2 linked regions of the Oryzias latipes genome follow. The protein of the gene in region 1 purifies or fractionates together with the protein of each later gene. This does not show direct contact. Links are inferred from orthologs where the notes say so. Each region holds a gene or a part of one and is shown on either strand. Other genes may lie near its edges.

Evidence for each region.
Region 2: the proteins of orc5 (region 1) and lrwd1 purify together in Homo sapiens (affinity purification with mass spectrometry; 4 studies listed by BioGRID and IntAct, with this or other methods). This does not show direct contact. The link is inferred for Oryzias latipes from reciprocal best matches to the Homo sapiens genes ORC5 and LRWD1.

What each region holds. Positions count from the first base shown.
Region 1 is NC_019881.2:17,806,191-17,810,612, reverse strand, and holds the start of orc5 (origin recognition complex subunit 5), read left to right. Parts: upstream 1-1,413; 5' UTR 1,414-1,695; coding exon 1,696-1,809; intron 1,810-3,661; coding exon 3,662-3,754; intron 3,755-4,259; coding exon 4,260-4,422. Other genes in the region: LHFPL tetraspan subfamily member 3 protein, read right to left, coding at 1-306. UniProt on the Homo sapiens protein: Component of the origin recognition complex (ORC) that binds origins of replication. DNA-binding is ATP-dependent. The specific DNA sequences that define origins of replication have not been identified yet.
Region 2 is NC_019872.2:25,209,404-25,213,937, reverse strand, and holds the start of lrwd1 (leucine-rich repeat and WD repeat-containing protein 1), read right to left. Parts: upstream 2,905-4,534; 5' UTR 2,868-2,904; intron 2,648-2,867; exon of another isoform or gene 2,569-2,647; intron 1,407-2,568; 5' UTR 1,400-1,406; coding exon 1,320-1,399; intron 884-1,319; coding exon 649-883; intron 463-648; coding exon 343-462; intron 1-342. Other genes in the region: alkbh4 (alpha-ketoglutarate-dependent dioxygenase alkB homolog 4), read left to right, coding at 2,905-3,015, 3,657-3,845, 3,972-4,493. UniProt on the Homo sapiens protein: Required for G1/S transition. Recruits and stabilizes the origin recognition complex (ORC) onto chromatin during G1 to establish pre-replication complex (preRC) and to heterochromatic sites in post-replicated cells.

The sequences.
Region 1 (4,422 bases):
GAACGCTCCGGAGGGGATGCTGCTGAACTCCGTGAAGCTTCCCTGACAGGTCAGGTCCCGGGACAGTCCGTTCCCGATGCAGTAGTGGAACAGACCAAAGTAGCCCGCCTGAGGCGTGTCTGCGCCGTCCCCGATCCAGTACGGCTGGATGAAGCACACCACGTTGACGATGGCGAAGAGGATGGTGAATATCGCCCAGAGGACGCCGATGGCCCGGGAATTACGCACGTAGTTGGTTTGGTAGATCTTGGCAGCCTCCGAGGCGGGAAGCATGGTGGTGGTCGCGCTGGGGGCCCCGGGGACCATCCTCCGGTGTATGTGAGGTAAGAGACTTAAGATTTGCACTCAGTAAACAAACCTCTTCCTCGTCAGGTAGTAATCTTCATCAGAACTAGCTAATTTTCCTGTTTTACGTGGATGCTTTACGCGTCTTCAATGCGCGCTCGCATCCTTGACTTGAGCCCTCTTTGCGCTTTCCTCCTTCATCAATCTACGGGAGAAAAAGAAAGACAATCTATTGAAATGCTTGAGAAATCCTCTCTGCAGAAGGCTTCCTCTGCCCGCTCCCCTGATGTCTCCTCCTGGTGTTTCTGCCTGAGACGATAACACCGCTCCAGCTGCCACGAGTGGCTGAGATGTGGCTGAAATGGTCTGTGTGCTCTCGACGGAGCAGCAGCCGCGGATGAGATCCTATTGAATTAGAGTCGGAAGATAGTTGCGGATATTACACAGGCAACTCACATCCCTTAATCCCATTCTGACGCATTATTCCGGTAACGCGCGTAAATCCCGAACAGACACATTGATATGAAAGCAAATGCGAAGACTAAATGCTTTTGATTTTTCTGCTCGTCAATCCAGTGCGCATGACTGATACGATCAGCATAAATACAAGTTCATAAAAAAACAAGGATGCGCTCTTCCTACATATACAATTTTAAATAGGTTCGTTTACAAAATTTCTGAATTGTAGTCTATTTTCAAAATATAAATGTTAGGTATTCCTAATTAGTTTAGTTTGGTTAAATTTAATTATCATATTTCTTAAAACAAACACACAAATAATCCTAAAAAGGTGAAAGGTTAGAGACAATAAAATAAGTTTTATTGGGTAATGGGTAAATCAGGAAGGTTATTTACAATACAGATTAGCCAAAATATGTATAATTACTCGTTTTAATAAAAAAAAAATCATTCTTAACAGCTCATACTAGATGCATACTCTCCAACGTTTTTAAAATTACACATCATAATTATGAGATATATATGAAATAAAGTATAATTATTTATTTCGTTTCTTTTTTTAAAATACTTTTTGATTTAAAAGATGTCTAAAGTTGTTTTTTATTTTATGTTTCGGATTTTTACTACATTACCCAGAGTTCCACAATACTTTTCTGATTGGATCATACGGAGGCGGAGTTTATGACGTAATCCAACGGCGCGCAAAGTGATCGCAGCCGGTTTCAAGTACATTTGCTCGTTTTTCCTCGATAAAAACGTAGTTTTTGAGGAGTGTTTTAAAGTTTTGTATCACGCGCTTTCTTCGACTTAACGACGTCAAGTTCACTTTTTTGCCGCTAACGCTGGCGACCGTCATCTTTATTTTCGTGAAAGTTAAGCTAATGTTTTGGTTTGTTTATTAGTTTAGCTCCTCGTGGCTTCAACTATAAAGTTAGAACCAAGAAAAGCAGAATGGCGGGACTGTTAGAGCATCCTGGATACGACGAGGAGAGGCTGAAGAGAGCCGCAGAGCAGCTGCCCTGCAGAGAAGTTCAGGCTGGGATGTTGCTGTCCCTTATGGGAGAGGTATGGGGCCGTTAACTCAAGGAAGGTCCACCTGATAACAAAATTCCCAAAGCAAAACAGTGTAATTATTAGTCAATGTATTTATAAAATAATAATAATAAAGTTTTTCATAAATTCTCATTCTCGTGTTAAAACACCAGTCGGAGTTGCTTTAATACCCACTCTGATTCATTAAAAATTGTTTGTAACATGTACTTGTGGCATTTTTCCAATGTTCTAAAAGTATTTCTTTATTAAAATTGTGATCCAGGACCAGACGAAAAGGCTCTGTTTGAAAAAGATCGTATATTTGTGATGTAGAAAACACACAAGCTCCCTGCTCAGCTCCATTCTGATGCACTTGTAAACAAATAGATCCATGTATGTCTTTGTTTTCTTCGCCCAAACTAGTGTCTGGCGCCCAAATGTACGGCTGGATATAGCTCCAATATTGCTCACCCTTTTTGTTGCACCAGTAATGTTAGTTTGGGTGTTTGAGAAAGATAGTGGGAGAGTGTAAACAGAGCTGTGGGCAGGGTTACTCTGTGCCAACAGTCTTTCCCACAATCAGACGTGAATTTATAATGAATTACTGCCGCTCTGCAGAAACTATGTCTTAGAAAATGTCAGAGGGTTTTTGATTTTAGCTAAAAAAGGGCATCATCATAATTAAAAGACCACTGGGAACACTTTGTAAATAAATCAAAAGATGAATATAGTAGGTTGTAATTTTTATTATTATTATTATTATTATTTAAAAGTGTGTTCATGAATAGGAATTTAGTCTTTGTGAGACGAGATAGATTAAAGAGACTTTGGACAGAAACGTAGTCGTATTGTTCTTGCTATTTTTAAATTCTTACTTAAAATATAGAGACACACCTTGCACAATTACAGACTACCGTATTTTCCGGAGTATAAGTCGCACCAGCCCAAAAATGCATTATAAAGTAGAAAAAAACACAGATAAGTCGCACTGGACTATAAGTCGCATTTTAACTTTCACAACCTTATATGACACAATCATAGCAGACTGTTTATCTAATAATTTCACAGTAATTTTTTCTCAAACTTATTTATTTATTCCTTTCATGAAGCATCATTGGCTAACTAATACTCTGTTTTCATCCTGTATTTGTAGAAACAGTTTTCACTTTTATTGCATTTCTGAATCTATGAAATCTTTGGAAAATAGAATATTATGTTGTTAGCCTTCAAGATCTAACTGTAAAAAAAAGTTTGCTGATTCTCTGAGTCACTGAACATACTCTTAACACTTAACACTTACACTTAACACTTACCTCATACATCAAATTGACCCAGGAACATCATCTCTGTTCCTCACAAATGAACATAACAGGAGGGTTAACAATGTATTTATTTCAATTTATTTCTAATATAAGTCGCTGCGGAGTATAAGTCGCACCCCTTGCCAAACTATGAAAAAAAGTGCGACTTATAGTCCGGAAAATACGGGTATTTAAAATAAATACAAGAACTAAAAATAAAAAGGGAAATTTGGTGAAACAGGTGAGATGGACTTTAAAAATATGGAGTCACATTAGGCTAATAATTTCATTAAATAATGGACACTGTACTGAAATATGATATTTCTCTAAGTGTTACTCAAATATGTATATTTTGTATGTAATGATCTTGTTTTTATACTATTTTAAGCTGCCTTACAATCATCTTGAGCGTCTTGATAAGCGCTTCAAATAAAATAAAGTAACCCTTTTATTCTTGGGCATTTAGGTGATGACTAATATAGTATTTAGAGCATTTTTCAATGTATTATGTTGTTTTTACCTAGTACTGGTGCAATGATCTAATATTATTGACAGTAACATTCGTGTTATTTTTCTCTTGACAGCCACACCAGTACTGCTACCCCTCAATCTTCATCTACGGTCATCGGGCTTCAGGAAAAAGCCATGTAATAAATGTTCTGATGAAGGAGCTGGAGGTGATGTCTGTTAAATCCGTGGTTGTTTTGGTTTAGATGTGGTTTCTCAGTGTTGTCTTTTGACAGCGTCAAAGAAAAGATGGATTCTGAAAGCTTTTTCTCCTTAGGGTTTCATCTTTTTCGAAGTTGAAAGGATAATGAAGGAATGACAACAACAAGAGAACACGGGGTTTCTTTCAATAAACACTGAAAGAGTGTTTAGTTAATTAAACATTGCGCTTTTTTCAAGTAAATAAGTGGATTCTGGTGATGTCAATTACATTTGTGGGTTACAAAAGTAAAACGTGAAAAAGATGTGTTTTTGCTAAAACCAAAGGATTATTTATCATTTACATTTAATCTGCAAAAGATAAAATCCACCCTCTAAAGTGTTGTCTTTGTTTGGGCAGTATGTTGTTGGGTTTTTAAAAAGTAGCAGCTGGGATTTTTGTGCCATGTGATGTTTTTTTTTTTTGTGCATCCTCCAGAGTTCTCAGTTTCCTTCTTACACCTCCTCTTCCTGCAGCTTCCTCACGCCACGCTCAGCTGTGTCGAATGCGTTTCTGTCGCGCTGCTGTTTGAGCAAGTCTTGCGGTCCTTCTTCGGGTGCGACGTGGCCTCGCTGCTCCCTCGCAGCCCCTCCCTGACAGACTTTGTGCGCATTTACCGCCAGCAGTCGCCTGCCCGGC
Region 2 (4,534 bases), on another chromosome or scaffold:
GCCGTACAGCTTTGATCCAGATTCCAGCTCAGACAGGAAAATAAAGATGTACATGGATCTATTTGACTGCAAGTTGATGAATCAGAATGGAGCAGAGCAGGCAGCCTGCCAACTCTAGCCTCTACAAAACAAATATGACGTTTTCTAAATGGCATTTTTTTTGTCTGCTCCTGATTCACAACAATTTAAATAAAGAAATACTCAGAAATTCTATTTTGAACTTCATTTTCTTAACATATGTACTCCGTCATAACAAAAAAAATGACACAAGATCGAGTTTAAAAACACCAAAAACACAAATTTTAACTGAAGTTAAGTCTTTCAAAAAAGGCAGTTTCTTACCCTGGTCCTCAGGTTGTCGCTGTAGACGAATCGTAAATGATTGGCGGTTGTGCTGACGTCTTTGCCATTGAAAATCCTCAAGTTAGGCAGCAACACCATCAGCTTATAATTATCACTCACCTGCAACATAGATAACATTCAACTTCATGTCTATAAAACAAAAAGAGTGGAATTAAATACCTTTACTTTGTTAATTGCTTTAAATCCTTTTTTTAATATAATTTATGTGCCTGTGTGACATTACTGCCATTTGTTGTTCTGTGTGAAACCTTCTCTGTAAAACAGCAGAGGGGGAACAGCACTCACTGTGATGTAGAGGTTGTCATCCATCTTAAGCTCTTCCAAAGTGCTCAGAGACTCCAAGGTGGTGACATCTTCCATCTGGTTGTCGCTGAGGTCCAGGAAGAAAAGCACAGGAAGCTTCAGGTTCTTGGGGAACTTCTGCAGTCTGTTTCCAGACAGGTCCAGCCTCTCCAGAGACTGCAGACGGGACAGGAGCTTAACAGGCAGGTCCTGAAGCTGAAGACCCAGCTTAGACAGACTAAAGAACAGAGCAAAGTCAGTTCCTTACACCATACAATGTTAAATACAATGCTGTCCTCGGTTTTTTTTTTTTTTTTAAATCCTGCAATTAAAAACAATTCTATTGTAATTATGATGGCTCTACACCAGGGGTGCCCAAATCCAGGCCTCGAAGGCCGGTGTCCCGGTGTTTTCCAACCATCCTGCCATTGACGTTCCTTATTGGCTGAACATACCGGTACACGAATCAGGTAATCGACAGCAGATGAGGCAGGGTTTCTTGAAAACTAGCCTGGATTTGGACACCCCTGCTCTACACAGAATGGTTTTATTCCTAAAGAGTTTTAAATACATTCTTTGCTGCATGTCCAAGTAACTATCAGTAGTTTACTACCAAGCAAAACAAAAACACAACTACAACAGTGTAGTTGTACAAGAGCTGCACGTGTTCCTACTTTAGTGTCTTGACTTGCTCCAGTTTGTTGGTTTTTGGGGTTCCTTTCTCCAGTAAAAGTTTCTCTGTTATCTTCTCCATTGTTCGACTGCAGATACAATTCAGGAAAGGATTGACTGAATGAATGACAATACACTTTAGTTTAATCTGCACAACCAGTTAAAACAACAGAATTGAAACATATAAAGACCGAGAAACTAAGTTTCTCAAAATAGACATGACCTGATCCTGCCCAACAGTAAGAAAACACTTAGAAGGTAAACTTATGTTATAGCTGCATCTTCTGTGATGTGTCATATTGACTAAATAACGTCCTTATACTACCTCTGCAATCACTTGCAGTGGGGTGTAATGTGCTTCTTTGTTCTGCTTTGATTCAACAAATTAAATGTTAGGTTTGTAAATCTAGGTGAATGTTGTCTTACTACTTTATTTACATTTTCTGCCAAATGATGGGTCCCTCAGAGGTTTGGTTGGGTGATAATCTATAAAATTAACTAAATTAAAGTGAACACAAAGCTTATTTGAACACCACAGCCAAAAAGAGATGATGTGTTGCCACTCAAACATGTTTTAAACTAACAAAACAAAAGGTTAAAGACGTTTTATAAGTAAATTGAGCAAAACTATTTTAGCAAATCATTTTTTCCCACCTTTATTCATAAATTGACAAACATACATTAAAGCGGTAAGCACAAAACAAGAACAAAACGAGCAAAAGGGAATTAGGCACATTTTTTTTATAATAATAATAAATTTTATTTAGAATGCGCTTTATATTTTGGGTAAAATCTCAAAGCGCTACAATGAAGGCAGGATTTACAATGGTTTAAGATAAGAACAAAGTAAGACAAAAAAACAACAACAATAAAAGTACTAAAAAGCATTATTTTATTAAGATATACTTCACAATCATCATGAATAGCTTTGAGTTTAGAACTTTTGGAAATTTCGATGCATTATTTAATTATAACAAGGAAAAGTGACTGTGCAAAACGTTACATTAAGGATTGTATTTTTAGCTAAACTTATGTGATACTAAATAATGTACGTAATCTTAGTTACAAAAGATATTTTAGCCACGTTGACGGTCAAGTTGACGTTGTTGTTTGGACGCATTTTCTGGGTTTTAAAATATTTGAAGTAAATCTAACGAAAGATCGATTAAAACATTGTTGAATCTACGAATATACTCAGTTCATTAATTTGCAATTACAAGCTCGTAAAATTTGGACATAAAAAAAACTCACCAACCAAGGATACACGAACACAAACGCGACACTAAAAATTTCGCGGGGAAAATGTCTACTTCCGGGGGAAAATGTTTATATCCGGTGTGTGCTGTTTTATATACCCTGAGCTTTGACTCATAGGCAAAATAGCTTCAAAGTGAATTTGATTGTGGATAATGATAATAAAGTTAGTGAAATATGAATGTACTTATTTTGTGTGCTGCTAAAAAATTAAATGTTTACAGATAAGGTTTCTAAATCTAACTATTTTATAATTATATCCTGCGCCTCTACCTTTCAACCATACAAGCATATACCTTTAACCCACAAGACGTTAGTTCCGGTTGGCTCAGAATGATGGCTCCGGACGGCAGCGACGGTGTTTCTCAATGCGGATGTAAAGGGATCCGGCTGTGTCTTTTGTGCGAAAATCGCAAAGAAAAAGAGGGGACAAAAGATCCAAAGGTATCTGTATTTAACTAAAACTAACAATTAATTGTATTTGAACCCCCTGCATTTACCTGTTTGCGCTTCTTTCAAATGTACGGAGGTCCTCGCTGGACAAAATACATGATCTCAAAGCATCAATATGCTAGGTGAATACTTTATTTACCATGAAATTTTTAAGTTACAATTTGTTTGCTTTTGTCAGTCGTTCCGATTCATACCAATATTTTTCCCACTTGTGTGACTAAACAACAAAAAGCTAAAACAGTTATTCACGATTTCTTACGAACTTATACGAAGAAGAGTGTAGAATAACCTGACTAGTTTCTCACATTAACTTAAGTTGTTGTTTTTTTTTTAAGACTTTATTTTTTGTTGTTGAGTGTTTCTTGTTAATAATCCACAAACCTAAAACAGAATAACTTTAAACATAACAGCACATAGAACAATACACTTCACTTTGGGCGATCTAAAAAAAACACCACATTTTTAATATTTTTGTTTAAAAGCAAAATGTAATTTTCTAACATATTTGCTAAAAGAAAGAGCACATTATCTGAAGTATGTGAATGAAACTGCCTCAGTTTCCTACAAAGAGGCTAAAAGTGAAGTAATAATTTATATAAATAGACATTTGTTTACTGTTGTCTTTTTTTTAGGCGGCGCATCATTTCATCTACAATCCTGAGACAAAGCTTGCTGTCTGCAAAGATGCAGGGAGTGCATCCTTCTCGTTTCCTGGTATCTTCCTATGGGACGACTTTATATCTGAAGAGGAAGAGAAGCAGCTGATTAACTCAATGGACCAGGATGCCTGGAACCCATCCCAGTCTGGTCGAAGGAAACAGGTAATGCTCTCCCAGTCAGATTAAAAAGGTTTACATTTTTTCTTCTGAAAAGACATGATGAGAGATTTACATTGAAATTAAGTACATTGATTTATAATTTAACCATTTTTCTCATTTTGGTTGCAGGATTTTGGTCCAAAGGTGAACTTTAAAAAAAGAAAAGTGCGTGTGGGTGGCTTCAGTGGACTCCCTAGTTTGAGCAAAGAACTCGTACTACGGATGCAGCAAGAGCCATGCCTGTCTGGCTTTCAGCCAGTGGAGCAGTGCAACCTGGACTACAACCCTCAGAGGGGCTCAGCCATAGACCCGCACTTTGATGACTCCTGGCTTTGGGGGGAGCGACTCGTCACCATCAACATGCTATCAGACACCACACTCACCATGTCGCTTGAGCAGGGTCTGCCAGAGCTGGGACTGTCAGAGGAAATTCATGTGGCCGTTCGCCTTCCACGCAGATGTTTAGTCGTGGTTTACGGCGAAGCGAGGCATCGATGGAAGCACGCCATTCGCAGGCAAGATATTCACAAGCGCCGGGTGTGCAGCACCTACAGGGAGTTGTCTGCAGAGTTTCTGCCGGGCGGGCAGCAGGCAGAGCTTGGAGCTCAGCTGCTCAAAATTGCATTGGACTTTAAAGGAATTCCAATATAACTTTTTGGATAAGTGCAGAGATAGCTGGAATGACAAAATTT